Pelodiscus sinensis: one gene and its partners. The protein of the gene in region 4 interacts with the protein of the main gene of each other region in a pairwise test. Links are inferred from orthologs where the notes say so. Each region holds a gene or a part of one and is shown on either strand. Other genes may lie near its edges.

Evidence for each region.
Region 1: the proteins of thyroid receptor-interacting protein 6-like (region 4) and RHOQ interact in a two-hybrid assay, tested with the Homo sapiens proteins (2 studies listed by BioGRID and IntAct). The two-hybrid records come from large-scale screens. The link is inferred for Pelodiscus sinensis from reciprocal best matches to the Homo sapiens genes TRIP6 and RHOQ.
Region 2: the proteins of thyroid receptor-interacting protein 6-like (region 4) and PPP1R16A interact in binary tests that used the Homo sapiens proteins (3 or more experiments, as listed by UniProt). The two-hybrid records come from large-scale screens. The link is inferred for Pelodiscus sinensis from reciprocal best matches to the Homo sapiens genes TRIP6 and PPP1R16A.
Region 3: the proteins of thyroid receptor-interacting protein 6-like (region 4) and LPAR2 interact in a two-hybrid assay, tested with the Homo sapiens proteins (2 studies listed by BioGRID). The link is inferred for Pelodiscus sinensis from reciprocal best matches to the Homo sapiens genes TRIP6 and LPAR2.

The regions. Positions count from the first base shown.
Region 1 is NC_134713.1:164,186,036-164,193,774, forward strand, and holds the start of RHOQ (rho-related GTP-binding protein RhoQ), read right to left. Parts: upstream 3,011-7,739; 5' UTR 2,558-3,010; coding exon 2,416-2,557; intron 1,887-2,415; coding exon 1,828-1,886; intron 1-1,827. UniProt on the Homo sapiens protein: Plasma membrane-associated small GTPase which cycles between an active GTP-bound and an inactive GDP-bound state. In active state binds to a variety of effector proteins to regulate cellular responses. Involved in epithelial cell polarization processes.
Region 2 is NC_134712.1:1,124,658-1,132,384, reverse strand, and holds the start of PPP1R16A (protein phosphatase 1 regulatory subunit 16A), read right to left. Parts: upstream 3,002-7,727; 5' UTR 2,885-3,001; intron 1-2,884. Other genes in the region: uncharacterized protein LOC142826897, read left to right, coding at 6,825-7,047, 7,683-7,727. UniProt on the Homo sapiens protein: Inhibits protein phosphatase 1 activity toward phosphorylase, myosin light chain and myosin substrates.
Region 3 is NC_134729.1:14,363,182-14,370,295, reverse strand, and holds the start of LPAR2 (lysophosphatidic acid receptor 2), read right to left. Parts: upstream 3,001-7,114; 5' UTR 2,961-3,000; intron 1-2,960. UniProt on the Homo sapiens protein: Receptor for lysophosphatidic acid (LPA), a mediator of diverse cellular activities. Seems to be coupled to the G(i)/G(o), G(12)/G(13), and G(q) families of heteromeric G proteins. Plays a key role in phospholipase C-beta (PLC-beta) signaling pathway.
Region 4 is NC_134734.1:9,899,331-9,907,335, reverse strand, and holds the start of thyroid receptor-interacting protein 6-like, read right to left. Parts: upstream 3,002-8,005; 5' UTR 2,981-3,001; coding exon 2,788-2,980; intron 2,478-2,787; exon of another isoform or gene 2,469-2,477; coding exon of another isoform or gene 2,279-2,468; intron 2,055-2,278; coding exon 1,879-2,054; intron 1,436-1,878; coding exon 1,316-1,435; intron 1,310-1,315; exon of another isoform or gene 1,244-1,309; coding exon of another isoform or gene 1,067-1,243; intron 615-1,066; coding exon 3-614; intron 1-2. Other genes in the region: BCL6B (B-cell CLL/lymphoma 6 member B protein), read left to right, coding at 7,528-7,703. UniProt on the Homo sapiens protein: Relays signals from the cell surface to the nucleus to weaken adherens junction and promote actin cytoskeleton reorganization and cell invasiveness. Involved in lysophosphatidic acid-induced cell adhesion and migration.

The DNA of each region.
Region 1 (7,739 bases), on a different chromosome or scaffold from region 4:
AGGTCAAGGAGAACAATTATTCTTCCTCCTCCTTGTAACACCCTTTTAGGTATTTGAAAGCTGTTATGTCCCCTCTCAATCTTCCCTTTTCCAAACTAAACAACCTAATTCTTCCAGTCTTCCCTCATAGGTCATGTTTTCTAGGCCTTTAATCATTTTTGTTGCTCTTCTCTGGACTCTCTCCAATTTCTCCACATCTTTTTTGAAATGTGCCCAGAACCAGAAGAATTACTACTTGTGTCTTGCTCACAACACTCCTGTCAGTGCATTCCAGCATCATGGGTTGGTTTTTTTTGCAACACTGTCACATTGTTGACTCATATTTAGCTTGTGGTCCACTCTGACCCCTAGATCCCTTTCTGCAGTACTCCTTCCTAGACAGTCATTTCCTATTTTGTATGTGGAACTGATAGCTCCATCTTAAGTGGAGTACTCTGCATTTGTCCTTTTTAAACTTCATCCTATTTACCACAGACCATTTCTCTAGTTTGTCCAGACCAGTTTGAATTATGACCCTATCCTCCAAAGCAGTGGTTCCCAACCTTTTTTGTACCAGACACCAGCAAACCCATTCACAAACTTTTGAAGGAATGGTAGCATTTTATTTGCATAGTCATCCAAAAGCAATACAATAATATTGGAGATCCCTTGCACTTCAGGCAGACTGTGTTTGCCATAAACAGTTTTTTAAAACCACAGGTAGATAAAGCACCTTTCACAATAGGATTTGTAGTTGGAAGCTTTCAAGCACAAATAATTCAGTTTGTTTTGTTAAGGCACCAATTAAATCATTATAAAATGAGGTGGCAAGAAGTGACACTGCCTCATTTTACAATGTCCTTTTTATAAGCTGGAAACGCCTTCTAGTTATTTAAAATTTTCTTAATTAAGCATGATGAAGAGAGACTGCCATTAATATGGGATTCTGTCTAATGTGGTGCGCTTGAAACAAAAAAGAAACAAGTCTTACACAGCAAAATACAAATCAAAAGAGGGTTTCAAATCTAGACAGGCTACAGAAGTCATTGCAATTGTTTGGACTCAGAATGATGATTTCAGGAATTCAAGTGATGTGATGCTGTAATAAACCTAACCAGACAAAATGCCTTCCCATAATATAAGATGATGCCATTAGCCACCAATCAGAACCCTTCAGTCATGTACTTCAGTCACCAATAAGGGACCAGACAGAGAACTCAAGAGAAACTGGCCATTTAAAACTAAAAAAGTCTATCACAGCTGAGTGGAATAAGAGTTTGAATAATTTTTTAAAAACCCAACATCATGTTTTTCTGAAGGCAGCACATGAAAGTGGGCAATTACTACAAATCACCATAGTGAGGCAAAAACAACAACAAATAGTCTGGTAGCACTTTATAGACTAACAAAACATATAGATGGTATCATGAGCTTTCGTGGGCATAGCCCACTTCTTCAGATGACCGGAGTTAAAGTGGGCTGTGCCCACGAAAGCTCATGATACCATCTACATGTTTTGTTAGTCTATAAAGTGATACCAGACCATTTGTTGGTTTTTTCTGTAACAGCTTAACTCGGCTACCCCCTAAAGCATAGTGAGGCAGTTCGACATAAACAAATATCCTGAGTTAGACTGAATCAGGGGCGGATTTCCCTCCCTCACCCCCCAATGAGTCCAGCCTGAATTGTCTTCCAGGCTTGGTTATTTTCATGGTTGCGTATGTACTAAAGTGAGACAGCCCAACAGATGCAAACACCCCTCCATTACACAGGAAAATGCTTTCGGCTGGAATAATAAAAACCTGCAGGTGCTGGATTCGAGTTCTGGCTGAGTCTGAAAGTACTCACCTGTCCTGCTGTGTCATAGAGCCCCAACAGATACTGCTTTCCCCCAACTGTAACAGTGACTGTAAAAGGAAAAAAAAATACAGGCATGGCTAATACTGTAGCGAAAGGGCATACAGGCTCAGAGGAATGTTTTCAATTACACAAGCAGATTAAAAAAAAGCAGGTCTAAAAAGCTAGCGCAAGAACACATCTGCAGTGCACTTGGCGATTTGGAAAGAATGGGTTTCATAGTTATGTCGCCCTCGCCAGACACCCGCCACCACTGGAAGTCCCGTTTCTACCATTCCGGGTACTTGCATTAAAAAAAAACCCATCTAGTCCAGACATTTCTATAGGCGGCACTACCCCTCCCCCAGGCAGTTTCACACACTGGGCAGGATCCTTCCTATGTCCTGTCCTCGGGAGGCTCCTTCCCGGCTGGGAGCGGGAGGCCGGAGCGGCCGGGGTACAACACCCAGACTTTGTGAAGAAGGTCACGGCAGGAGGAGAGAGGCTCCGGGTGGGAAAATGGCAAAGTTGCTCTAAAGTTCTCCGGGGGCAGGGGAGGAGCCTCTTACTCAGCACTTCTGAGCCCGCCCGCCCGCTTACCTGCATAGTGGTCAAACACGGTGGGCACATACTCCTCGGGGAAGGCGTCGTTGGCGTAGCTCATCAGCAAGCACGTCTTGCCCACGGCCCCGTCTCCCACCACCACGCACTTCAGCATGAGCGCCCCCGTCCCATTGGCCATGCTGCGCGGCCAGTCGGCATGGTCACGGGCTCAGCGCCGCGCCGAAGGGCGAGTCCGCATCTTCGCCGCCCCCCCCGCCGCGGGTCGCTCAGCAGGCGCCGCAGCTCGCCGGCGCTGACATGTCTCCCCCGGGCAGTGCCAAATTTGGCTGCGAGGGGTTTGCCTTCCCCTCGCTCCAGCGGAGCGCGATGACACAATGGATCATAAGACGTGCAGCCCCGAGAAAACGGGAACTTTGGGCAGGCACAGCCGTACCCGAAGCGCGGCGCTCGCCGCCTCTGGCCCGCGCTGCCCCAGGGGCAAGCCACCCCCCCACTCCCTCCCGGCTGCAGAGACAAACGCCCCGCAGAGGGGCTGCAGCGCAGGGCGCCCGCAAGCAAGTCTTCTGCCACTTTACTTTCCTGCCCGCCCCCGCCCCCAACTTGTCCAGGCTTCTGCCACCACTTCGGAAACCCTGCAATCTCAGACTAGCTTTACTCGGAGGCGAAAGGAGGAGCAAAGCCAAATTGCTAAAGAGCAACGGAGGGCTCCTCTCCAAAGAGCCAGCCGCTCTCAGAAACGTGCAGGGCGTTAGAGGTGCTCCCAGGGCTTCCTTCTGGAAAGAAAAAGAAAAGGGGAAATAAATCCCTTCCTCAAATAAACCCAGCATCACATGCCCGCTGATTTGGAGCCGATCGTCTTCTAGACGAGCTGTGTATCGGAAAGAGGGAGTTTTAAACTAGAGGGATTAGCTAGCAGGAGAGCGATGCTGATATGCACACAACACGTACCTATATTAAACACACACACCGATGCACAATAAAACGTCATCTCCAACATAAGTTACTAGTGGCTCAGTTGCTTTCTTTTCCACCAAACACTCCACAAAACCCTTCATCCAAAAGGGGTAGATTTTATTAAAAATGACATTAGAATTTAGGGAGCCTCCTTGCCTCTTGACTCTGATTTGGGCTGGTTAGAAATTAATACCAATTAATTTTCCTACTGTGAAGACTTGCTGGGACCGCCTTCCCCCTTCCCTCCATAAAATAATCTATTATGAATAAGAAGCCTTTTCAAAACAAAATGGTGTCAGGTTGAAATGTGGCTTAATTGCTGAGACCAGTATGAAAAGAGTAGGACAGAAAATGACTCTTCCCTCCTTTCCCCCCAGCATTGGACATATTTTAAAGATGTCTTCATAGGGAGACAAATATTTTCTTGGGTCTGAATTTCATGTTCATATGCTAATGTATTGGAAATGTGTATATGTCCCAGTCATTACATTCTGTCCTAAATACAGATGTGCCTCTACATGAACCCATCTCTAATATATAATAAGTGCTGAAGTAACCAGGTCTTTCATGGCTATTAAATAACAATAGTCCATATATCCAAACAGCCACAAATGTTGGGTCTTCAGGAAACAAGCAATGCCATCCACATGACAGAGTGCTGCTGGCTTTAACTAAAGTTTTAAACCATCATTGAGAAGTCTGGATGCAGTGTTAACTTACTACTTGCCAAGGCCCTGAAATGTATTGAGTTCCCAGTAGCTTTGTTGGCCAACACCCTCACATTAGCTTGGCAAGAATTAATGATAAAATATATTGTATAAGAGATTATGAATGATCATTAAGATTATTAAGATTATTGATCATTAAGATCAATAGCAAAACTCCCATTGGTGCTCAGAGTTCAACCCCCAGTAGTATTTCTTTAATGCAGGAGACCACACTAATAGTCAGCTCAGTGATAGTAAAACTCACTTTTTATTTAGTCTTGGTGAAATCCATTTTTATTGTTTAATCATTTCAATGGATATTGATGTTTATTTTTAAGCATTTTTTACAATATTTATCAAATTACATTTTAGCAGTTGTGCAAAATTATAGGATATAATATTTTATTTGTTATGAATTTAAATGTTCACAGTTGAAGGACATTATAGTTAGTGTCACATGTCAAAGTGTACAAAGTAAATGTCCTTACATAAAACTCTAAAGTAGTGAAGCAGCATTTTCTCACTTTGGAGAAGATCATGGAGATACAGAAGACGATGGAGACACAGCCGCCCTCTGCATATTGATTATGACAACATAAGAATGGCCACACTGGACCAGACCAAAAGTCCATCTAGACCAGTAGTCTGTTTTCTGATGGTAGCCAATGCCAGGTGCCCCAGAGGGAATGAGCAGAAGAGGCAATCTTCAAGTGATCCCTCCCCTGTCACCCATTCCCAGAGGCTAGGTACACCATCCCTGCCCATCCTGGCTAATAGCCATTGATGGACCTAATCTCCATGAAATTATCTAGCTCTTTGAACCTTGTAATCTTGGCCTTTACAACAACCTCTGGCAAAGTGAACCACAGGTTGATTGTGTATTGTGTGAAAAAATACCTGGAGGATGAGGTAGACGAGGCTTTCTTCAGAAGTTTCCAGATCACAGGTGCAGATTCACATGGGGGATTTCAATCACTCTGACATCTGCTTGGAGTGTTATACAGCATGCAGAAGTATAATCAGGAAGGCCAAAGCACAACTGGAGTTGCAGATAGCAAGGGATGTGAAGGATAACAAGGAAGGTTTCTACAGATATATTAGTACCAAGAAGAAGGTCAGGAAAGCTGTAGGACCCTTATTCAACAGGGAAGGCAACCTAGGAACACATAAGGTGGAAAAAGCTGAAGTTCTTACTACCTGCTTTTTTTTTCCCCCTTCAGACTTCACAGATCAGGTCAGCTCCCAGACTGCTACTACATTGGGTAGCACAATATGGGGAGAAGGTGAGTTGTGAAAGAACAGGTTAAGGACTATATAGAAAAGCTGGACATGCACAAATCCATGGGTTGGATCTAATGCATCTGAGGGTGCTGTGAGAATTGCCTGATATGACTGCAGAGCCATTGGCCATTATCTTTGAAAACTTGAGGTGACTGAGGTAGGTCCCAAATGACTCAAAAAGGCAAATGTAGTGCCCATCTTTAAAAAAGGGAAGAAGGGGAATCCAGGGAACTACAGACCAGTCAGCCTCACCTTAGTTCCTAGAAAAATCATAGAGGAGGGCAATTTGTGCTCTATAGAGGTCTTTCTAATAGGAGCCATTCTTTTCTGAGTACTATCTTATCCAATCAGAGCTGTCCTTACACATTTGTGTATGGTGTGCTGGCATTGCTCAGGGGGTACCAGTTCCCACATATGTCTGAGTCTCACTCTGAACTAAATTTAACTTATCCCAGCACTATATTCATGATTGGCCATCCTACTTAACCACTCCCTCCCATCTACTTATTCCACTCCCTCCCATCTGTAAGTAGGGTCTGAATCATGTTTCCATTACAGCACACTCAAATGGGAAGGAAAACCTGGGTATGGTTATGTAAATACAGTTCACTCAGTTTGCTTAGGCCTTCTAGATAGTCAACTGTTAGAAGGTGTTTTGCCCATTGTAACCAATTTGGCTGTTGTGGGATCACTAACCATGTTAACACTAAATGCAGGAATTGTGAGATATGATCAACAATGTTTGCAGTTATCGGGAATGCAGAAAAGTCAGACTGTTTAACTCAGTTCAAAGGAGAGACCCTGTCAGTGTAAATACACTTGGATGGGCAGAGGCTCATCTTCCAGACCCCTATATATTAAGCTGGGCAGGGAGGTGAGTTAGCAGGTTGTATGATTGCCAGGCAGGAACTGTAAGACTGGTTCAATCTGTTTCTCCCCACTGTTTCAATTATGGAGTTAAAGAAAGGTTCCATAAGGAGTCTCTTTTGTATATAAACATTCTCCAGAGGATGCTGGAATCTCTTGTGGCTTGTCTGTGCTTTAGGCTAAAAGCTGAAATCACAAGGTTTGTCCCAGAACCAAATCCACCACAAGCCATAGGAAGATGAGATGAGCAGGTGGTGAGTGACCAGTGGAGTGGGTGAGATGCCTTCTACCCCCACTCAGGATGAGAGGTTAAATCTGCAGCTCACCTCTGAGCTCTGGTCTGCCTTGACCAAGGGTAGCGACTGTGAGTGGGGTGCAAAGAAGGGTTGTGCATGTGAAGGGGACACTTTGCTGGACTTCAGTGCTTGAGAGGAAAAGGACATTGCTAAACCTACGTGAGCTGGGACATTTACTCGTGGTTTTGGTTATGAACTCTGTGGTGTTTTCCCAAATTAATGCCACTTTACTTCCTGCCCCTATTGCTAAAGGTTTCTTTTCTATGCTCAGACTCTGTGCTTGTGAGAGGCGGAGTATTGCCTCCCAGAGGCGCCCAGAGGTGTGTGTGAGTTTCCCAGGTTTCTGGGTGGGGACTTGAGCCAGTTCTGTGTTGGGTGGATGGAGAGGAACCCCTAGATATTGAATCCAGCCCTTGCTGCTGCTGGTGCTATCTGGCAGAAGCATTACACATCTAAGAGTGGCTGGAGACTCACTAGTAGGAGCTATTGGGTGGGATTGGCTTTTACTCAACCCATGAGCTGGGAGATCTCCATTTTGAAACACTTGGAGGAGAAAAAGGTGATCAGGAACAGTCTACATGGTTCTACTAAGGCCATATCATGTCTGATGAACCTTCTATAATGAGAACTGGCTCCTTGGATATGGGGATGGCGGTGGATGTGATATACCTTGACTTTAGCAAAGCTTTTGATAGATCTTGCAAAGTATTCTTGCCAGCAAGTTAAAGAAGTATGGATCATTTGGTTCATTGGGCAGCAATCAAAAGCTTGATGTGTAGTTGAAAACTGGTATCAAATGGGATGCCCCAGGGGTCAGCCCTGCCAGGGCCATTCCAAGGGAGGCATGTGGCCTGGGACAGCACCTCCCCCCACTCCACAGTGCCCCTGGTGCAGGGCCCAGAACAATCCTACTGCCATAGGCCTCAATTCACCCTGCCTCTGCTTCACCCTGCTGTCCACCCACTTACTTCTTCCATAAACTCCCACCCCTGCTTGGCCTCACCATGCCCCTAGAGTTGCCAGGTGTCTGGTATTGACCCGGACAGTCTGGTATTTTCACGTCCTGTCCGGACACCTAATTCTGATTTTTTTCCCAGCCAGAAGGTGATAATACTGGGTGCGTACCTAGTTCCACAGAGGAGCTGTCTGGCCTGGAGCAGGGAGACAAGATGGTACGGCCGCTAACAGCCTGTTAGGGCCAAAAAGTCTCAAAGCATTTCTTAAAGGGGCCATGCTGGGGATTAAATTTTTTTTT
Region 2 (7,727 bases), on a different chromosome or scaffold from region 4:
GCCGCCCGAGCTGCGTGCCTGGGGCCGGCACCGGCGCCGCACGCCCGCATGTGCCCCGGGGCTGGGGCCGCCCGAGCGCCGCGCACCAGGCGCCGGTGAGTGTCGCGTGCCTGGGGCCGGCGCCTCCAGTGCACCGGGGGCGGGGCCAGCCCGGGTTGTCGGCGGGCGCCTACAAATGCCCCGGCGGGCGCCATGGTGCCCGCAGGCACCGCGTTGGGGACCACTGGTCTAGACAGTACTGGGTCCTGCCGTGAGGGCAGGGGACTGGACTCAATGACCTCTCAAGGTCCCTTCCAGTCCTAGTATTCTATGGTTCTATGATTCTTAATCTCCAACTATTAGTGATTTGGATAAGACCTTCACAAGGAGCAGATTAACCCGTATCTTCTTGCTCTGGGATTTCTTAAACCTTCCTCTTTAGCATCTGGTGTTGGCCACTTTAAGAGACAAGATTCTGACCAGTGATCTGATCCAATCTAGGGATGTTAAATACTCGTTAATTGAATAGTCAAGTAACCTCATGAATTCTTATCAGTTACTCGATTATTCTATAGACCCTTGCAGTGCTTTGTTAAAAAAAAAAAAAAAAGTGCCAGTACTCCAGGGGAAAAGTTGTTGAGCTCTGACTGGAGGTGCGGGTACTACATCTGGAAATGCCGGTACTGCGTCTGGAAGTGCCGGTACTGAGTACCTGGCAGTACCATCACAAAAACACTGGACCCCGAGGGTGGGGCCAGCAGGCAGTGCACTCCAGCCCCACACCTGAGGAGCCTCCTGCCACTCGGCGCTGCTGCCTCTATAATATTTAATATAATAGAGGCAGCAGTGCAGGGTGTCAGGCAGGAGCTGGTCTATGAGGGGAGGCAGTTGAAAAACCAGCTCCCCTCGCAGACCGGCTGCCTGTCACAGAGGCAGCAGCCCGGGATGACAGCAGCCCCTGTCCAGGGGTGGGGCTGAGCTCCTGAACACAGCACAAGCTGGACTGCCTGCCCACCTGGCTCCTAATACACTTTAAATGCAGAGCCACAGCGGGGGTAGGTCCCGGATCCAACGAGAAGCAGGACTGAGCTGGCCTGCTGGCCAGCCTGCTAAAAAATTTACTGGCAAGAGGGGCTGGGAAACGTGTGTAGTTTATAGCGTTAACCGATACGCTTTTGCTTATAGTTAATCGACTACACTGTTACATCTCTAATCCAGTCCATTCCACGGAAGCATCAGCAGTGGGGCAGGGAGGGAACCGGCCATTAGAGTCCCCTCTGAATCATAGCAATTAACTGGACTGGACTAGAAAAACATGGCTGCAGGCCTTTCATTCTGATCAGGAAAGGAAAGGGTGCTGGTTAGAAGGTGCAAGAAAAATACCGCAAAAGGCACTGAAATGACACACAAGTGTTGGAGCTCCAAGAGAACAGGAAGGGCAGAGTGAAATTAGACACTGCGACCACACTTGCTAACGCAAGCGGAGTGAAGTACCTGGACAAAAGAACAAAGCTGAGAAAATCAATGGCTGACCAAGTTCCGTGTCTCTCTTACATGTTGCATGTCCATCCCTTTCTGTAGGACATTTGATTAGACTGTAGGCAAGGACCTCATTTACATGTTTACACGGCACCCCGCACAATGGGGCTCTGATCCAGACTGGGGCCACAGGAACATAAACGTGAACTAACACGTGAATAGCCATCACCCCCTACCCACATTCTCATTTGCACAACAGGTCTCTGCTCCAGCTGAAGTTTCACCAGCTGGGCAACACCCCTCTCAAATCCTGATATGGGAAAGCGGGGAAGGGAAATAGTCTGCCACCTTCACAGCCCCTATGAATTCTCTTCTGCGCTCACTTGGCTCAAGACCAACTGGGCTCCCCCACTGCCCCCCGAAGTGTCAGCAGACAGCGAAACGAGGGAAACAACAGAGCCCCCAGGGTTCCCAACGTCACTTAAAAACATCGGTAACAGTGTCCCCGCCCCCGCCACACGGGACACCTGCCCAGTCTATAGGTTGTCCCAGCCCCCCATCACAGAACCTCTAATCCCACCCCCCCACTGCCTCCCCCAGAGCCCTCAGTCCCCCCCACAGCCCCCCCATCACAGAACCCCCAATTCCACCCAATCCCCCACTGCGCCCACCAGGGCCCTCAGTCCCCCCCACAGCCCCCCATCACAGAACCCCCAATCCCGCCCCCCCACTGCCCCCACCAGGGCCCTCAGTCCCCCCCACAGCCCCCCATCACAGAACCCCCAATCCCACCCAATCCCCCACTGCGCCCACCAGGGCCCTCACTCCCCCCCACAGCCCCCCATCACAGAACCCCCAATTCCACCCAATCCCCCACTGCGCCCACCAGGGCCCTCAGTCCCCCCCACAGCCCCCCATCACAGAACCCCCAATCCCGCCCCCCCACTGCCCCCACCAGGGCCCTCACTCCCCCCCACAGCCCCCCATCACAGAACCCCCAATCCCACCCAATCCCCCACTGCGCCCACCAGGGCCCTCACTCCCCCCCACAGCCCCCCATCACAGAACCCCCAATCCCACCCAATCCCCCACTGCGCCCACCAGGGCCCTCACTCCCCCCCACAGCCCCCCATCACAGAACCCCCAATTCCACCCAATCCCCCACTGCGCCCACCAGGGCCCTCAGTCCCCCCCACAGCCCCCCATCACAGAACCCCCAATCCCACCCAATCCCCCACTGCCCCCACCAGGGCCCTCAGTCCCCCCCACAACCTCCCCATCACAGAACCCCCAATCCCACCCCCCCATTGCCCCCCCAGGGCCCTCAGTCCCCCCCACACAGAACCCTCTCCGCACCCCCCCACCAGGGCCCAGTCCCCCCACAGCCCCCGTATCACGTGACCCCTCCGCAGCCGGCCGCGCTCACCCGCCGTCGGCAGGAGCCGGGCCGCTCTCCGGCTCTGTCCCGCAAGGGCGGGTCCCCACGGCGCCTCGCCATAGCAACCAGCCACACTTCCGCTAGGGGCGGCGCTCCCGCCGGAAGTGGCCGGCTCGGCGCGGCCGCCGGCGCGAGCGAGCGGAGGTGGGCGGGGCCACGGGCGCGCGGCGAGGGGGCGGGGCCTGAGAGGCAATGGGACCCGCATGCCCCGGGATCCTGGCCAGGGCCCCTCCCCCCGCGAGGGCGTGGCCGGTCCCTAGCTCCGCCCAGCTGGGCCCCTCCCCCCGCGAGGGCGTGGCCGGTCCCTAGCTCCGCCCGTCTGGGCCCCTCCCCCCGCGAGGGCGTGGCCGGTCCTTAGCTCCGCCCAGCTGGGCCCCTCCCCCCGCGAGGGCCTGGCCGGTCCCTAGCTCCGCCCAGCTGGGCCCCTCCCCCCGCGAGGGCCTGGCCGGTCCCTAGCTCCGCCCAGCTGGGCCCCTCCCCCCGCGAGGGCCTGGCCGGTCCCTAGCTCCGCCCAGCTGGGCCCCTCCCCCGCGAGGGCGTGGCCGGTCCCTAACTCCGCCCAGCTGGGCCCCTCCCCCCGCGAGGGCCTGGCCGGTCCCTAGCTCCGCCCATCTGGGCCCCTCCCCCCGCGAGGGCGTGGCCGGTCCCTAACTCCGCCCAGCTGGGCCCCTCCCCCCCGCGAGGGCCTGGCCGGTCCCTAACTCCGTCCAGCTGGGCCCCTCCCCCCGCGAGGGCCTGGCCGGTCCCTAGCTCCGCCCAGCTGGGCCCCTCCCCCCCGCGAGGGCCTGACCGGTCCCTAGCTCCGCCCAGCTGGGCCCCTCCCCCCCGCGAGGGCGTGGCCGGTCCCTAGCTCCGCCCAGCTGGGCCCCTCCCCCTGCGAGGGCCTGACCGGTCCCTAGCTCCGCCCAGCTGGGCCCCTCCCCCCCGCGAGGGCCTGGCCGGTCCCTAGCTCCGCCCAGCTGGGCCCCTCCCCCCGCGAGGGCCTGGCCGGTCCCTAGCTCCGCCCAGCTGGGCCCCTCCCCCTTGGGCCCTGCTGTCCAGCGGGCTGCTCCAGGCTGCCCAGGCCGGTCTCCCCCCCAGCTCAGGCTGTGCCCGCAGTGCCAATGCCGCCTGCCTCCCTGGAAGGTCCCTTCCCCCCTTCCTGACACTTGGGACCAAGCCCTAGCGCAATAGGAGCCCCAGAGGAGAAGGGGGCTGGCGGGGGCGGGGGCTAGTCCCACCCCACAGGCAGCTGAGCGATCGGCCCAGCAGATGGGCTGGTAGAAGATGCTAATTGCCGTAGCCATTAGGAAGATCGCTCCCCACTCTCTCCCCCCCCCCCCCCCCGATGAGCCAGTGACTCAGCTAGCTGGTCCCTCCCGCCCTCTCACCCCACCTTCCGGACTAAATCTGATCTGTCAGTTTAACAACGGGTTCACTTTTCCATTGTATCCTTTGGTATACGTGGTCCTGCCAATTCTCGTCCAGAATTTGATCTGAGGAAGTGGGGCTGGCCCACGAACGCTCATCCCCTAATAAACCATCTTGTTAGTCTCTAAAGTGCTGCCCAGTTTCTCCTTTTGTTTTATCGACATGTTTCCTTAGTCAAAGTGCTACCAGACCATTCGCTGCTTTTTCTGCCACAGACTCACTCGGTTGCCCCCTCAAATTCCTTTCGCAGGCAGCTGCATTTGAAGGGAACCTCCTGGATCCTAGCCCAAGTCACCAGACCTCCTCCCCCATCCCAGCCCCTCAGTGCCATGACATTTCCACCCTGTCCCTTGGTGGCTTCCCTCTGCGGCTGCCTGGAGGGTGAAGGGTTTCCCTGCCGCGCAGGAGCTACGCTCGCCGGCCTTAGGGCTGGCGGCTGCTGTGTCTCTATCCTTTGCTTCGGACAGCTGCCCTAGCCTAGCCAGTCTCCCTGAGCGCTGTATGCTCTAGCCAAGAGATTTCCAAAGGCGGGGGCCCCGACAGCAGGGTATGACTGCTGGCTCCTGACCCATATTCTACCCCCCCACCCCACTGGGGCTACATAACGCTGCTCCCTGCAGCATTCCTGGGCTCACACAGGGGCTGTCTCTAGACTGGCCAGTTTTTCTGGAAAATCAGCCGCTTTTCCGGAAAAACTTGCCAGCTGTCTACACTGGCCGCTTGAATTTCCGCAAAATCACTGACTTCCTACGGTAAGAAATCAGTGCTTCTTGCGGGAATACTATGCTGCTCCCATTCGGGCAAAAGTCCCTTTTGCACAAAACTTTTGCGCAAAAGGGCCAGTGTAGACAGCTCAGATTTGTTTTCTGCAAAAAAGCCCCGATTGCGAAAATGGCGATCGGGGCTTTTTTGCAGAAAAGCGCGTCTAGATTGGCCACGGACACTTTTCCGCAAAAAGTGCTTTTGCGGAAAAGCGTCCGTGCCAATCTAGACGCTCTGTTCCAAAAATGCTTTTAACGGAAAACTTTTCCGTTAAAAGCATTTCCGGAAAATCATGCCAGTCTAGACATAGCCAGGGAGTAGCTCTCCAGCAGGCTGGCAGGCCATGGGGACCGGTGGCCCAAAGCGCAGGTAGCCAGCCACAGACACGCAGCAGAGAAGGACAAGCAGGAACAGCTCTAGAGCTGGACAGAAAAAGGAGAAGAGGCATGGGGGGGGGAACCCCAAAAGCAGAGGGGAAAGGAGACAAGAAGGGAAAGGGCAGCAAGGAAAAGCCGGGAGAGGCAGCGGCGGGCCAGGCGGGGAAGGCTGAGGCAGGCCGGGAAGGGCCAGGGGAGCTGATGCGGCTGCCCGAGTTCACCCGTTCATTTCCTGCCAGTGTCCCCGAGCCGGGCTTTGTGAAAGCCGTTCCCAAGCACGCTGGCCGGCCCAGCGCCCCGAGGCCGCACCGGTGTCTCACTGCAGCCAGGGTTAGCAGCTCACCTCCCTAGGACACGGGGTGCCAGGGAGCAGGCCTGGGCCTCGCCGCACAGCAGGCCAGAAGAACATCGAGAGTCCCCTGAGCCGTGCCAGGGCTTCCGAGGCAGCTCCCGATTGTAGCTGTGAAGAAGGCACTAGGATCCGTGCAAATTCACCAGGGAAAGCGCCCCCTTCTGGGCGACCTCGCTGATGCCTGCAGCCTGGCACCCTCCTGTCCTGGGGCTTTGGAGTTGGCCTTGACAGCAAGGCAGCCTCCCCTCCCGGGTCATGCACCCCTCGATCTGTGCTGGGGCTTGGGTGGGCCCTGACGGCAAGGCGAGGCAGCCTCCCCCCACCCCGTCCTGCAGCCCTGGCTCCTGATGGGGGTGGGGCACCGTCCCCGGGGGTGGCACGCAGGCCATTTCCAGAGAGAGAATGAGCTGGCTCTGCAGCCGGGATGGGCAAGCATTTTTCAAGAGCAGCCACTTCGCAAATTGTTACAGTCGGCCGCCCTGGAAGGGGCGGGGCCTCAGACAGAAAGGGCGGAGCCAGGACACTTCTCATGCTCCCCCATCCCCAGGTCTCGATTGGCCGGGGGGGGGGGGAGTGGCAAGGCAGCTGCAGGCCGGGTGAGTCCGGCCCCTGGAAGCTGTCTTGCCCACCCCTGCCCTACCGCCTAAGCTGAGCGCCAGCTGGCTTTTAGCCCAAGCTGTAGCGCCTCCTGCCCTGAGCTCCGGAGGTGCCCGGTTCGGGCCCGCCTGTCGGCGCTTCGCTGGCTCAGGACAGCAGCCCCCGCGGCTTCCCCAGGGGGTCTCCCCTTCCAGCCTGACGCCGCGAAGCCTTCGGGAGCCAACTCTCCACGGTGCCGAAGGCTCCCGGCTCCGTTAGGCAGCGCAGCTGGCGTTCAGCCCCCAGCATGCTTTGCAGGCTGAGTCTCGCAGGGGCGTTCTGCTGACATCACAATGGGGAGACTTCACAGCCCCTGGAGCTGGGTCCAGAGACATCCCCCAGCACAGGCTCCAGGCTCCGCCTTTCCCCACGGCCTGCCGGAGCCCCGGCCATGGCCCAGGCAGGGCCAGCGTGGGGCACAGCCCCCCACGCCTGCGGGAAAGGAGGGCCCTGTGGCAGAATAGACCGAGCCGGGCTCCTCCCTTCCTGCGAGGATGAAGCGGACGACTGGGAGACCGACCCGGACTATATAAACGATGCCCCAGGGAGAGGCTGTTGGTGGGGGGATGGCCAGGGAGCCGGCTCCCAGATCTCAACCGCCTCCATCATCTCCGGTGAGGCCCAGAGAGCGCTGGGGAGAGCCCGTGGCTGCTGCCGCGAGGGGCGTGTGGGCGGCCGGCCCCTAGAGCCCTGCCAATCCGCCGACCGCGGCTTCACACGTGGAATCGCGTGGGTCAGTTTTACACACTGTATCCGCGCTGGGTCTTCCGCCAGCACCGAACCCACAGGCCTGCCCCCCTCTCCTGCCTGTCGCCCTGCTGCTGCCGCCCTTGGGGGGGCAGGATCCGGGGCAGACGGGGGTGCCTGGGGCAGGAAGTGATACTGACCGCCAGCCAGTGCCCTGGCTGTAGAGGGGCTGCCGCGAGCCTAAGGAGACCCATTGACCCCTCTCCACTCGCTGGCAGCCCGACAGATTTCCAGTGGGGACAGCCGGCAAGTGGGGGCCCAACCCAGGGGAAACCTTTGGTCCTGCGTCTCACACACACGCACGCTCTCTCTGCACAAGCAGCGAAGGCACGTCCTGCCACTTGCCGGGGGCTCAGGCCCATGTGTGACCCTGGGCAAGTGGCGCGTGTCAGAGCCCGGTGCCTCGGTTTCCCCTGCCAGGGAAGGTGCTAGAGGTGGGTGGTGGGGAATCAGCCAGCGCTGCTTGTTGCGAATTGCTCTTTCCTTTCTGGGGCTGTTTCAGATCTGTCCAACTCCATCCGGGGCTGTGAGCTGAACTGGCCTGGTA
Region 3 (7,114 bases), on a different chromosome or scaffold from region 4:
GGACAGGGGAGCTGGGCCCCTGGGCTCCCCAACCCTCCTTGCCCAGGGGCCCGGCTCCCCTGTCCTGGCCCTTGTAAATTGCCATGCCCCATTTGCCCTCCCCCTCAGTCTCAGCTGTGATTTTCTAAGTTTACCTTTATTGCAAGAAGAAAACCTTCTGGGCCATAATGTTGCATTAATGCCTCATTGTTAGATGTTTTTTGCATGACATTCCCATAGGAGTTACTTTGGAGGAAGATGGGGGAGGAGGACTCCCCACATTTCTTGGTCTTTATCCCCTGAGGAGGTGGCTTAGGGGAAAGGGTGGAGTGCAGGTGGAATGGAGGCAGAGAAGGGGTGGAGCATGGGGGGGGGGGGTTGTTCTAGGCCCCGCATCCCATCAGGGATGGCCCTGCTGGGCACAGCCAGTAGGAGGGGGCGCTGGAGCTAGCGCTACCCCATATGCAGCACCTAGGGGACCATGGAATTTGGTGCCCAAAATTTTGTGGTGCTCTTTATGGCTGCATATTTTGCATATATTGGTAGAGATAGTCATGATGTGGGGTGGGGGTGGCCAGAGTGTGGGCGGGGCCACACCTTAGAGTTTGGGAAGGCATTGCCTTCTCCTGCCTCTGATTCCCTCCACCCATGCTGATCAGAGAAGAAATACAGACGTTCTGGTAGTGGTGCACAGCTGACTGGGAAACTTCACTCAGTAGTTATCAAAGATACACAGTCCAACTGGAAGGGCATACGATTGGGGTGCCACGAGAGGTCTAGTTCCATTCAGTATCTTCATAAATTATTTGAATAGTGGCATAGCGAGGACAGTGTTAAAGCTGCAGACATAGCAAGCTAGGGGAGGGTACAAACACTTTGCAGCATAGGATTCAAGTCACCTTGAGAAACTGAAGAAACTGTCTGAAATAAAATAGGATAAAAATAACTAAGTACAAATGCAAAATGTTGTGTTCAGGAAGGAATAATCGATGGCACACGCACAAAGTGGGAAGTTCTGCCTACGAAGCAGTACAGCAGAAAAGGATGGGAGGGTTAATGCTGATCATATATTAAACAAGAGTCAACTATGTAACAGAGTTGCAAAAATAGCAAACCTCATTCCAGGATGTATTAGCAGACAAACAAAAGAGGTAATTCTTCCACTCTACTCTGCACTGAAGTAATGTGTCCAGTTCTGGAAATCACTTTTTGGGAAAGATGTGGTCAAATTGGAGAAAAATCCAGAGGAGAGCAACACACATGATTAAAGGTCTAGAAAACAGGATCTGCAAGGACAGATTGAAACAGCTGGGTTTGTTTAGTCTGGAGACTAGAAGACTGAAGAGGGACATGATAACAGGCTTCAAGTACCTAAAAGTTTGTTGTTTTTTTGTTTAAAAAAGAGGGTGATAGATTGTTCTCCTTAACAACTGAAGACAAGACAAGAAGCAAAGAAGAATGGATTTGAATTGCAGCCAGGGAGGTTTAGGTTGGACATTAGGAAAAACTCACTGTCAGAGTAATTAAGCTCCGGAACAAACAGCTGGGTTATTGGGGAATCTCTGCGTCTGGGGGGTTTTAAGACTAGGTTAGATAAACAGCTGCTGGGGGAGGGGAGAAGTTTACTAGATATGGGGTTCTTAATCTTTTACCTTCTGAGCACCCCACGCTCCCCTGACATGTTGCCCAGCTGTGCCACAAGAACTGTTTCACTGCATAGAAAAGCCAGCGGTGCAGTGAGGGAGTAGCAAGGTGGACAAGTGCCCGGGGTTCCACGCTACAGGGTGGCACCACAAAGCTATTACTTAGGGTTCCTCTTCAACCCCTAGTGGTGGGGCTTGGAGCCCCTGGCTGCAATCCTATGCAGCAGGGCTCTGGCTTTCTGCCCTGGGCCCTACAAAGTCTGATGCCAGTCATTCTTGGCAGCCCCCCTGAAACCTGCTGGTGGCCCCATTGGAGGCCATAAGCCCCCAGTGGAACATTCATGCTGTGGCTCCTGGCAAGAAAATGGAATTTCTACTGAGCCTAATGGATTTAGGTGCCTAATTTAATGAAAGTGGGCAACTAAGGCTTCTTTGAAAAAACCCAGCCTATGCTCCCTGTTAAGGGCCTTCTCATCTAGCTCTGGTTTCTACAGGATTCTGTTATTCGTTCGGTGTAAGTGACTCCAAGTCCAGTGATTTTCATCCTGGAGTCCCTGCACCCTAGGGGTGCGCAGACTCTGCCTAAGAGTCCCAAGGGAGTCCGCACACACATTTGGCATTTTTTAGGTGCCCACAAATGAAAAGCACGAGAGCCCCTTCTTTCATTGATGTTCACAGAAGATGGAAACGTGTGAACTGAAAGGAGGATTTGGCCCATCATCCAACTGCTCAAGGAGTATTAAGCTTAAAATAACAAGCTTCAATAAATTGTACATCACAAAAGCACTGATCCCAAAGTCAAATACAGACACAGGCCCAGGCTCTGCCCCTATAGATTGGGAGTTGCTTCAGATTTACACTGGGTCTCAATGAGACGGATTTTGGCCATTTGGGTAGGGGAAACAGAATTAGGGCCTGATCTTAGACCCATTAGAACCAACGGAGGGAGTCCTATTTATTCAGGGGGCATTTAATCCAGGCCTCTACTGCACAGAGTCAATGGTACAAGGGAGGGGGGAGAAAACTCAGGTTTCCAAGTGTGACACATAAAGAGAGGGAGCCAGGGTGTCCGAGGAGCATGGGAAGTTATCCCCAGCAATATGGGCTTACATGGGCAATTACCTTTATCTGAGACAGTTACTAGCCACTGTTCCTTTCATTGAAGGATTTAATTAACATTTGCTGAACATGACAAGCCATAACTATGTAACAGGGTTTGGGGAGAGGAAGGGAAGGAGAACTGTGCCAGGCAGAAATGAAAAAAAGCCTCCCTCCCATTAGAGCAGGAATCAGTAGGCAGGAATAGGAGCCCACCACCAGGAATCAGAGCCAGGTTACCTGGAACAAGCAGCTAGTGGCCAGGAACAAAGACTTTGCAGAGCACCCACTGCTCCAGTCACTGGGTGTAACTGTAAGCTGATCTGTGGACTCTTCCTACCAATCAGGCCAGGTATCCAATCACAAAGCCCACTACAGGCCAGCTGTGCTGGTTAGTTTGCTGGGAGATCATCTGCATTTCCTGGTTGCTGATACAGAGTCCCAGCTCTTTGGGGGTCACTACTCACCTTATATTTAACCGTACAATTTTCATGGGTAGTTGAGTTTTCCTGTTTCCTCAGGGTTCAGTTTCTTACCAATTGCTGCCTCCTCAGGATGGTGCCAGGAGGCACCCAGCTGGGAATCAAGGTCGCCAAGTGTGAAACCCTCTGGCTTTTCATTCTTTCTGTGATAAGAGGGTTATTAAGCAGTGCTGAGGCTCAGAAGTGCTGGATTAGGTGGTTGCATTATCCTGAATTAATATTGACTGTGGAAAAGAAGCTTGAAACAAGAGGTTTGTTTCTTGATGGCCTGGCTGATAAAATAACCCATTCATTTAGGCATAAGCTTTTGTGGGCTGGGAAGGAGCTTATGCTCAAGTAAATTTGTTAGTCTTTAAGGTGCCCGGGGCCTCATTGTTTTGGCTGATAAAAGTCTCCTTCTCAGACAGGTGGCCGCGTCACTCTGTATCTGCATCTCTTTGTTAAGGTTACGAGGGCCTTACCTCCCAGTCATCTATAATAACTCTATGGCTACGTCTACATTGGCATGATCTTGTGCAAGAACTCTTCCAGAAGAGAGCGTCTACATTGGCATGTGCCTTTGCGCAAGAGATGTGCTTTTGCGCAAGAGCATCCTTGCCAGTGTAGACGCTCTCTTGCACAAGAAAGCTCTGATGGCCATTTTAACCATAGGGCTTTCTTGTGCAAGAAATTCATGTTGCCTGGCTACACTGGCCTCTTGCGCAAGAACAGTTGCACAAGAGGGCTTCTTCCTGAGCAGGAGCGTCATAGTTCTTGTGCAAGAAGCCCTGATTTCATACATTAGAACGTCAGTGTTCTTGCACCAAAACTCGAGGCCAGTGTAGATAGGCAGCAAGTTTTGGCACAAAAGCGGCTGCTTTTGCGCAAGATCATGCCAATGTAGACACAGCCTATGGGAAATATATTCTCTAGGAATCAGCACAGAGAGCAGCTGCCATGAAAACAGTGAGGCCCAGAGAAACAAGCGCAGTAGATAGAAAATCCCTTGCCTTTTGGCCTTCCCCTGCTTTGAAGTGGGAAGTGAGAGCCCAGACCTAGAGACAATTCCACTTCACAGACTTACCCCGACTGTGAGTTAGTCCCTGCAATACACACTTGAGAACCAGTTCTTTGAAGTGGAAACAGGGCCCCAAAGACATGGGAAGTCTGGGGGCACAAAGCTTCCCGTGTGAATTAGTATGATCTCTCACATTTCAACTTCCAAGAACAAAATAAATAAAACATTAACTGCATCTGAAAACACAGAGGCTACGTCTACACTGGCATGATCTTGCGCAAAAACTCTTTAGTGCAAGAGTTCTTGCGTTAAAGTAATTGTGCAAGAGAACATCTACACTGGCATGTGCTTTTGCACAAGAGCATCCATGCCAGTGTAGACGCTCTCTTGCGCAAGAAAGCTCTGATGACCATTTTAACCATAGGGCTTTCTTGTGCAAGAAATTCATGTTGCCTGTCTACACTGGCCTCTTGTGCAAAAACAGTTGCGCAAAAGGGCTTATTCCTGAGTGGGAGCATCATAGTTCTTGCTCAAGAAGCCCTGATTTCATACAGTAGAACGTCAGTTTACTTGCGCAATAACACATGGCCAGTGTAGACAGGCAGCAGTGTAAACAGGCAACTGCTTTTGCGGAAAAACTTGCCAGCTGTCTACACTGTCCGCTTGAATTTCTGCAAGAACGCTGACGATCTCATGTAAGATTGTCAGTGTTCCTGCGGAAATAATATGCTGCTCCCGTTCGGGCAAAAGCCCTTTTGTGCAAATGCTTTTGCGCAAGAGGGCCAGTGTAGACAACGCGGTATTGTTTTGCGCAAAAAAGCCCCAATTGCGAAAATGGCGATTGGGGCTTTCTTGCACAAAACCGCGTCTAGATTGTTTTTGCGGAAAAGTGTCCGTGCCAATCTAGATGCTCTTTTCTGCAAATGCTTTTAATGGAAATTTTCCGTTAAAAGCATTTGCGGAAAATCATGCCAGTCTATATATAGCCCTATGGCAATGTCTACACTGGCAGGTTCTTGCGCAAGAATGGCCATTCTTCCACAGTGTCTGCACTGCCCGCCTGCTCTTGCACAAGAAGATTTACAGTACGGCGTCGGAAGAGAGGGCTTCTTGCGCAGGAGCTATGCTCTTTTCTAACAGGTGTAAGCCCTCTTGTGCAGGAGCTCTTGCGCAAGAGGGCAGTGTGGACACAGATCACAGGTTTCTTGTGCAAGAAAGCCCTATGGCTAAAATGACCATCAGAGCTTTCTTGCACAAGAGAGCGTCCACACTGCCATGGATGCTCTTGCGCAAAAGCACATGGCCATGTGGACAAGTTCTTGTGCAGGAGTGCTTGTGTAGAAACTCTTGCGCAAGAACCCGCCAGTGTAGACATAGCCCTGGTGTCCTGTTCTCGAGTCTATTGTTAAAACCAGACTTTCCAGGTGAGGGCAGATACTTTAAGGAGTAGACCTTGTCATAGACCCCTTTGAAAATCCCCCTTCCTAGAAAAAAAACAAACAGAACCAACCAACCAACACAACACTCCCCAAAGCCCAGCTCTTCTAAGCAGTGGATCTCAAAGCACTTTCTCATGAGATGAATTCAAGGTTGGTCTGTTCTCTGAAGCCTTGTTTCAGAGGGGTGGCCGTGTAAGTCTGTTTCAGCAAAAACAGGAAGGCTGGTGGTACCTTAAAATAAGTTTATTGGGAGCAATATGCAGTGCTGTGACTGCTCATTTTTAGTGTTACATGGCTACCCCTCTGAAATGTTATCGTGAGCTACAGCTCACTTCCTCAGATGCTTGAAAGAAAGGGAGGGATATAGCGATGGGAGTGTAACGTCAGTGCTGAGTCACTCAGGGTGAATATGGTTCATCTCCAGCCATGATGAGAAGGTGAGTACCTGAAGGGGAAATGACTCCTTGTAAAGAGAGCCTTGCCATAGAATAAGCTTTAAGAAATTTCCCTTTTAGGTACTCTCACCACCTTATCATGGCTGGAAGTGAGCCACGTCCACCTTGCTTTTACACTCCCATCTCTCTATCCCAGCCGTTCTTCCATTTCAAGCGTCTGAGAAGAAGTGAGCTATATCTCACAATTAGCTCACCCTTATCATTTGTAAGTCTTTAAAGGTGCCACTGGACTCCTTGTTGTTTTCTCTGAAATCATTTACCCAGGTTTAGGCTAGTCTAAGTTTTAGATGACCCAGTGTGCGCAGTAGCTGATATTCTATTTGTTGAGGGACGTGTCCAGGATAGAAGAGAAGACCATAGTGCCTGCAAGTGACAGTGGGTTGCCATTTCTGTGTTACGTAATATATTTAAAAAAATTAAGTGGTTACTAGAGACAAAAATCTTCTTGCCTCACTCAGAACTCCACCCCCGGGGAGGAGGGGAGGGCTTTCCAAAACCTCCCTCAGATTGGAAGACTGTTCTCTAGAGAGCTCAAGTCTCACTGCTAGAAAACGGTGCCTGATTTCTGACTCAGCCTAGATTTCTAATTGCTCACGTTCAAAAGCAGCAGCCAAAGAAAAGCTATTCACAGTCTCTGCTGGGGTCCTGCGAGAGGTAACTCAGGGCAGCAGATGGGCCTAAGTGGTAAAGGCAAAGAACTACATGCCGCCTGCTCTCCCTCCTCCTAGTCAGGCTGTAATAAAAGTGTGACTCACCGGAAAGCTGTGGAAGATGGAAATGTGTTGCTTGGACACAGTCACCTGACCTGGGTCAAAGTCCCATGGCAGGGTCAGTTAAGTACCCCCCCAGTCAAGGAGGCCTAACCCTGAAATATAAGCACATGGCTACCCCCATGACAGGAATGAATGGGTAGAGGAGAGGAGCTAGCAAGATTCTGGCCAGCTCTTTCTGTCTGGGAGTCTGTCCAACTGTGTTCAGGCGCTCTCAGCTCCCCAGCAAGCGAGGCAGTGAAGTTTAATTA
Region 4 (8,005 bases):
ACCTGGTGCTGGTATCCTCCTCTGTCACCAGGGGGCACCTTTGCTGACACCGCCATCTCTTCCTTTCCTGGAGTCCCCACAGCAGCTTGGTACTGAGTCCCGGATGCCTCTCCTGGCTTCGCCAGCCCTCCTGCCTCATAGCATTCCCCCTCACCCAGCCTCTTGCCATAGCCCCCAGGCTCCAGATACCAGCCCTCCACCCCCCTGCCACCTGGCTCTGAGCCGTACTGGGCCCCACGGCCAGCTCCGGGTGATGGGGGTGCATAAGCCTGCTCAGCCCGGCGTCTCGGCTGACCATAGCCTAACACTGGCTGGGCAACTTTGACCTGGATGTTGAAGGCTGGCCCAGCTGATGTGGAGGCCGTGGTGTAGGATGCAGGCATAGGCTGTGGATACAGCTTCTGCCCAGGCAGCATCCATGGATAGCCAGCCCCATATGGGGGAGCTGGCCCGGAGGGAGCCATTGAGGTGGCAGGTTGGGGCAACGGCCCATATGATGAGCTCTTGGAGGCACAGGGTGGGGCAAAGGAGCCTGGCTTGTAAGGGCTGGGCATTTTGTGGGCGCCAGGTTGTGGGGGGGCAGTTGCTGATGGATACGGGACAGAGTCGAAGTTCTGGAGACGAAAGGAGAAGATGAAACAGACATCTGGAAGCAGATAGGTGAGGATTTGGGGATCCCTGCTGTACTTGGGGGGATATCTAATGACTCCCTAGCCTACAAATCCACCTCACCCCAAAATGCTCCCCACCCCAACCCTCAACACATCAAAAGAGCCACCATTCCCCAAGGAACCCACCAAGACTGCAAGTTAACGCTCAACTTTGGCTACATCAACAATGGTCCCATAAAACCATCAATATTGCACAAACCGTCGAAGCTGAAAGCTTGTGGCATACTCCATTAGCAAGCTTGGATTTTTAGCTTTCCAGCAGCACATGACATCTCTATGCCCAATGGTTCAGGAGAAATCAGGCACTAAAAGAGGCCCAATGTGACTCCTGTGTACCATCCTGATTTCCCTTACCGCAGGATGTAGGTTGGAAAGTAATTTCCAGTGGCTAATACCTGGAGAACTGGGGGAAGGAGAAATGGGTAGCTGATACCACCTGGAAGTTCTGGGTCTTTGCTTTCCAATGGCATCATGTGGAGTCTGGATCCAGTGGTTCTGGAGATGCTGGGCACTGGTGTTGCCATATGATGGCAAGGAGAGGGGCAAGAAGGTACTTGGAAAGAAGTGATCATAGGGCTGACATTTCATTGGTGGGAAAGTCTGTGCCAATGAAACCACCGCCCCAAAGCCTCCTGGCTGTTTACCTGCCTCTCTCCCTGGCGCTGGGGGCCGGTGCTCTCCATATCTGCCAGCATATGGGTGAGTGAATCTATTTGGGCGTCAATGCTGGAAGGGCGGTGGGGTCCTGGATCTAGGGCAGATCCCTAAGGAAACAGACAGCAGATTAGAGTGTAGAGATAGGGGGGCTGTATGGTACAGTCCAGACTTGCAAGATGGAATCACAGAGTGCAGCTGCTGACCTAGTGGCAGGCAGTTCCACAAGTTAACAAAAATCGGGCATTATGCTCTAGGGCATGAGATGGGCAGGATCAGGAAGGCACTTTCTCCTGTGCCCCCTATGACAAAGGCAGATTAATTATGGGAAAATTAAGCCTTCAAGGATACTGTGCTGTCACCCTATGGGAGAGCTTTTACTCCCACTTCCTCTACTACCTCAAATCCCTGAGGGCTAGGAGAGGTTTTGAGGGGTGCTCCGGGCTGGGGGGATGCCCTTCCAATGCCATGCACATAAGGAAATTCACCCTGAGTCCTGCCTTTACAAGGACTCCATGTTCTGGCCCATCCTCCCTCCTGTTCCACCTCCTACCTGGATGTGGTATCCTCGTGCAGCAGACAGGGCAGCCCCCCACGGTGCCCCCAGGCCTCGCTCATCCTTGGCCCCAGAGACAGATGGGTGATGATGCTGGGAGCCAGCCAGGGGGCCAAAGCTAGAAAGCAGGGGGGCCGGCCCCCTGGGATCCTGATGATGGGGGGAGAGGCTGCCTAGAGAGGGAAAAAGGAGTCAGACCCCTCCTGCTCTGTGCTGGCTCTCAGTCCCCCTGCTCTAACCATCAGCCCCCACTCTCCTCCCTGAGCTGGGGGGAGAGTCCAGGAGTGTGAGCTTCCAGCCCCTCTGCTCTGATTTGCTCCCTTGCAACCCAGGCAGGCATCCACTGCCCTCACCTGGATCAGACCCATCGGGCATGGGGGGAGGGGGAGGTATTTACCGGGGCCCTCTGGCTGGTAGCCCGTCCCACTCATGCCTTCCCCGTTCTGTTCCTGGGGGGCCAACCGGGGGGATGCAGGGCCCGTGGCATGTTTCTTCTGGGGTTTGCAAAGCGCCGGAGCAGAGACTGAGACGCCGGGAGACCCCGAAGAACTTGCCCGCTTGGGGGGGAGCCAGGTGGGACCGGACATCTCGGGGACCTGTGGGGGGAGTGGTGTAGAGAGGTTAGAGGGGGAAGAGCGAGAAATCAGGACTCCTGGGTTCTCTCCCCAGCTCTGGGAGGGGTGTGGGGCAGCCCTGGTAGCCGCGGGGGAGGGGGGGGGATGATGTAACTCGCACCTGGCCTCATAGCCCTGGTTTTGGGAAGGATTCCCACGGGTGTGGGGGTCTTACTCCAGCCTGCTCCGGTTCCCCCCCCCCGTGGGTGCCCGGGGGGAGGAGAGGTGCGAGGAGGGGGTGTCTCTGGTCACGTGGGGGAATACCTGCGGGGAGGAGGGACCCGCTACTTACCTAACCCCGAGGGGGAATCCCGGCGGGGGGTCCCACCGCCTCCTGTCTTGCCCCGCTGGGAGGGTCCCTGGCTCGCAGGGAAGAGTCCTAGAGCTTCCGGATCCAGCCAGCTCCGAACTTCCCGGAAAAGTTCCCCCTCCCCCACCTGCCCCCAAAAACTTTTTAATGGACCCCCTCGATGACGACACCACATTCCAGATAGGGTCACGTGGGGCTGGGAATTCCTGCCACTTCCGGTGGGGGGAGCATGGGATGGGAGGGGCAACCTAGGCCCACCCTGGGCTGGGATGGAGGCAGGGTCCCCCGCCCACTCTGGGAGGGGAGTGAGGGGTGGTGGGTTAGAGCAGAGCTGGAGGTTGGGTCGGGGAGGGGCTGGGAGCCAGGACTCCTGGGTTCTCTTCCTGGCTGTGGGAGGGAGCGGCCTGGCTCTGGGTGGGGAACTGGATACCCGCCTTTTCCCTGGCAGAAGGGTTTCCTGGGCCCTGCTTAGCATCCCTGGCTCCCTTCCAGCATTATCAATCCTTGAGCCTCTCCTGCTACCTTATCAGTCCTGGAGATTATTGGTAGCCTGTCTGTTGCAGATTTGTGCCCATGCTTGACCCTGTGCAGCCTCTGGGGGAACCCCCTTCCCTGCGACAGCCTCTTCTCAGGGGCCACTCTCTTTTGGGAGTTAAGCCCCTTAACTCCTTGGACTGCACCTCTCTGAGCCCCCAGCATGCCTGTTTCTGTTGTGGGCCCCCTCAGGGAGTGCACTTGTCCTGGACCCTTGAGCCTGCACTCCCAGAGGGAATAATGCAGCCCTGTTCTCCAGACCAAAACGACTCTCAGCTATAAAACAGGAGGGTTTATTTAGCGTCTGAACACAGCATAGAAACTGTCAGGGTTGGTAGGCCTGGCCTCCCTCAGCACAGCGGCTACGTCTAGACTGGCACGAATTTCCGAAAATGCTTTTAACAGAAAAGTTTTCCGTTAAAAGCATTTTCGGAAAAGCACGTCTAGATTGGCAGGATGCTTTTCCGCAAAAGCACTTTTTGCGGAAAAACGTCCGTGGCCAATCTAGACACGGTTTTCCGCAAAAAAGCCCCGATCGCCATTTTCGTGATCGGGGCTTTTTTTTCGGAAAACACTACTATGCTGTCTACACTGGCCCTTTTGGGCAAAAGTCTTTCGGAAAAAGACTTTTGCCCGAACGGGAGCAGCATAGTATTTCCGGAAAAGTATTGATGATTTTACATTAGATTGTCAGTGCTTTTCCGGAAATTCAAGCAGCCAGTGTAGACAGCTGGCAAGTTTTTCCGCAAAATCATCTGATTTTGCAGAAAAACTTTTCAGTCTAGACACAGCCAGCATGTTTGAGTCTTCCCTGAAGCCAGGTGGGCTCTGGGTGCTCTGTTCCCCCTCCTATCCTGCGCCCTGAGCACTTCCTATCTGGGCCTCTGATATTCCCTGCCCCCAAACCCCATGGCTGTCCTAATTTCCAGGGCCCCCACCCGCTGCAGGCCCTGCCCCACCCCTGTTCAGGCCCCAGGCACCATGTAATGCCATGGGTCTTGTCTATAGGATGTTTTTGGCGGTCACTACAGAGACCCCAAAGGCACAGGGCCTGGGGTGGCACAGGGCCTGGGGTGGCTGCCCCAAACCGTCCTATGGCTGTCGATGTCTTCTGTCCTGGTAAACAAGCTTGCCCTGGCCCCTCTCTTTTCTGTCTCTCTTTCCCCTCATCTGTCCTTTGTCCTCATGGGCTGGAACCAGCTGGATAGGTCATTGGGGTCCTCTCTCTACTGTCTGGGCTGGGGTCACCAGTCACTAGGGGTACCAGATGATTTAAAAAAAATACCAGACACACTTGATCTCAGATTGGGGGGAGGACTGGCCGGGAAAGGAGCGGGGCTGGCCAGGAGGAGGTTGGGGGGAGCAGGGCTGGTCGGAGGAGATCAGGGTGGGGGAACGGCCGGTGGGAAGCAGGGATGGCCAGGAAGAGATTGGGGGGAGCAGGGCTGGCTGGGAGGGGATCAAAGGGAGCAGGGCTGGCCAGGAGAGGGTTGGGGGGATTGGGGCTGGCCGGGGGGGAAGTGGCCGGTGAGGAGTGGGGCTGGCCGGGAGAGGGTTTGGGGGAGTGGGGCTGGCCAGGGGGGAGTGGGGCTGGCCTGTGGGGAACCGGCCAGTGGGGAGCGGGGCTGTCTGGGAGGGGAGTGGAGGAGGAACTGGCCGGCGGGACTGGCCCGGGTGCACGCAGATCCCGGGGTGCTGCCCATCCTGTGCATGGCCCTGGCGGGGCGCAAGAGCAAATCTGGCCCCAGGGATTCCATCCCGCCCCGGCCCCGGCCCCGGCCCTAGCCCTGGCCCTGGCCTCACCTCCCTCCTCTCTACTGCGTAGTTGCGTACTGATACTCATGATAATATTAAAACTTACTTAATTAGAAAATACCAGACATTTATATGTCCGGTATTTTCTCAATTTGTTTCCTGGACAGAAAGCTCAAATACCAGGCTGTCCGGTTCAAAACCGGACCCCTGGGAACCCTACCAGTCACCGGGGTCTCCATTCTCCAGCCCACTGGCCAGACTCTCCAGTTCTGTGTTGGTTCCTGTAACAACCAATTCCCTCTTCCCTCCCCTCGTTAAACCAATAAGAGAGAGGGACTTGGAAACCCACTTCCCCACACCATCCACACAGGCAGCCACCAGGAAAATCTGAATAGCTAATCTAGGGAGAATGGCTCCTTCAGGCAGGACTCTGCCCAGACACACACTGAAAGAAAATCCCTGACCCAAAAAGCTGACAGTCTGATGTGAGAAAGGAAACTGAGGAACAGCAGAATGGGACTGACCCAACATCACAGCTAGGGCTAGAACCCAGAAGTCCTGGTGCTCAGTTCCCGTTATCAGGGCCCAGTTCTGCAGCATGCCACCTGCTTAGCAAGGGGCTGACACTGCAAGTCAGGGAGCTCCGCAGTCCCACAGCGCCACAGAATGGCCACAGGCTGGTGCCAACAAGTCCTGGAACTACAGTGATTCTGCTGCTGGTGGGGGCTGGGAGCCCTGGTGCTGCTGGTACATACAAATGTGGGTTCAGCAGACCAATGCGGAGAGGAAGGTGGCAGCGGGTGCAGCCCTGGGCACAGGGAATGGCTTCAAATGAAGCTGGGCTGCTCAAGCTGCCTTTTAAATGTGCCCCAACCCACGACGCTGCTAGGCTGTCTTCCTCCCCCCGCAGTGAATGATGTCACTGCCTGGGGAACCCCACCCTCCCTCCCCACTGAGCTTTTCCTGCATTTGTTGCTGTACCACAAAAGGCTTTGTGTCCAGAAACATCCAGGGACGCCTTTCTGCTACTGAGATGTAGCCATCTCTAGCGTGGGGTTGCCAGTTATACAAGGGCCCCCCGCCCAGTGCTGAGGTACAGCCATCTTAGGGGGTGAGGTGGCTGGTTACACAGGGACCCCTCAACCTGGCCACCTTTGGGATGGGGCAGCTGGTTACACGGGAATCCCTTGCCTGACACTGAGATGCGACCACTTCTGGGGCAGGACAGCTGGTTACACGGGGACCCCTTGCCTGGTGCTGAGATGCAGCCTCCTCTGGGGCGAGGTGGCGGGTTACACAGGGACCCCTCTCCCAGTGCTGAGATTTGGCCACCTCTGGGGCAGGACGGCCAGTTACATGGGGACCCCTCACTTGGCACTGAGCTGAATGTGTTTGAGCTATCCCATTGCTCCCCTGCCCCCCCAGACCAGTGTGTCTTAATCTCGTCAAACTTGGGATCGGGGTCCAAAACAAACAGTCTATTTCCTCCTCCCATCATATTCCCACCTCCGTGCCTTCCCCCCGGCCCTGGCCCCTCAGCACAGGCGAAGACAATACGAGGAAATGGCACAGAGCAAATTCACTCAGAGACCTAACACTCAAGCTGCCCCCCACCCCAAATCCCAGTCCCTTCCTCCCAATTCCTGGGTCTGGGGAACCAAGGGTGTCTTAGCATAGCAATGGGGTGACTTGAGTAGGAGAGGCTGGGAGCCAGGGCTCCTGCATTCTCTCTCGGGCTCTGGGAGGGGAGTCAGGCCTGGTGGGGTAGAACAAGGGGGCTGGAAGCCAGGATTCCTGAGTTCTTGCCTTGGCTCTGGGATGGATATGAGAACTAGCAGTTAGAGTGGGGAGCTGCATTTGTTTGTGGATCTGGGATTTGTCCTACCTTTTTCCTGAAAGGTCTATTAATAACCCCCCTCCACCCCCCGCCTTTTCCCTGGCAGCTGGGCCGGGGCAGGAAGGATGTGAACTAGAGAGAGAACTTCCCCCTGTCCCTCCAGGACATTATAAGAGCCTCCAGCCCTGCTGAGTTATTGGAGGCTGGTTCTCCAGGCCGGGGGAACAGCTGGGACTTTACCACCCCTCTACACCCTGAAAGTCCTGCTGGCAGGAGTGTCCGAGGGTCCCTGCTGGTCAGGGTGAGCTGTCATTACCTGGTCTCCTGGGTTTTCTCCTGCCTCTGGGAGCGGAGTGGGGGCTGGTGGGTTAAAGCGGGGGGAAAGGGCTGAAAGCCAGGACTCTTGGGTTCTCTCCTTGGTTGTGGGAGGAGAGCGGGGGCTGGTGGGTTAGAGCCAGGGAGGGGAACTGGAATGCAAGACTCTTGCCCCTCTACTCTGTGTGTCTTACCCTCCCCTCTGAGTAGCCCTGTCTCTTCCCCTCCACATACACATCTGGCCTGCGGGAACCCTCCCCACCCCTGTATCTGCAGGCGCCATGAGCAGGGGCACTGCCAGGGGCCCAGCTGGCTGCGTCCGGGAGTTCACACGCCACGCCGGCGACGTGCTGCTGAACCTGGACCAGCTACGCCACCGCCACGTCTTGACCGATGTCACCCTGCTGGTGGGGGGACGCCCCTTGCTGGCCCACAAGGCTGTGCTGGCAGCCTGCAGGTGAGGGGAAGGGGTTGTCAGGGATGGGGGCTTAACTAAAGAGGATGTGGCTGGTGCAGGGTCTGGGGCATGGCTAGAGAGGGTGTGGCTGTAAGGGATAGGATGTGACTAAAGAGAGTGCTGATGGGGGACAGGGCATGGCTAGATAGGTGGGGTTTTGAAGGAATGGGCGTGGCTAGAGATAGTATGGTTATGAGGCATGGCATGGCTAGAGAGGGCGTGGCTGTGGATGTGTGGCCATGGCTATAGAAGAAAGCAATGCCTTGGTGGGCATGGTTGTGATGAGACACTGTGGGTAGGGA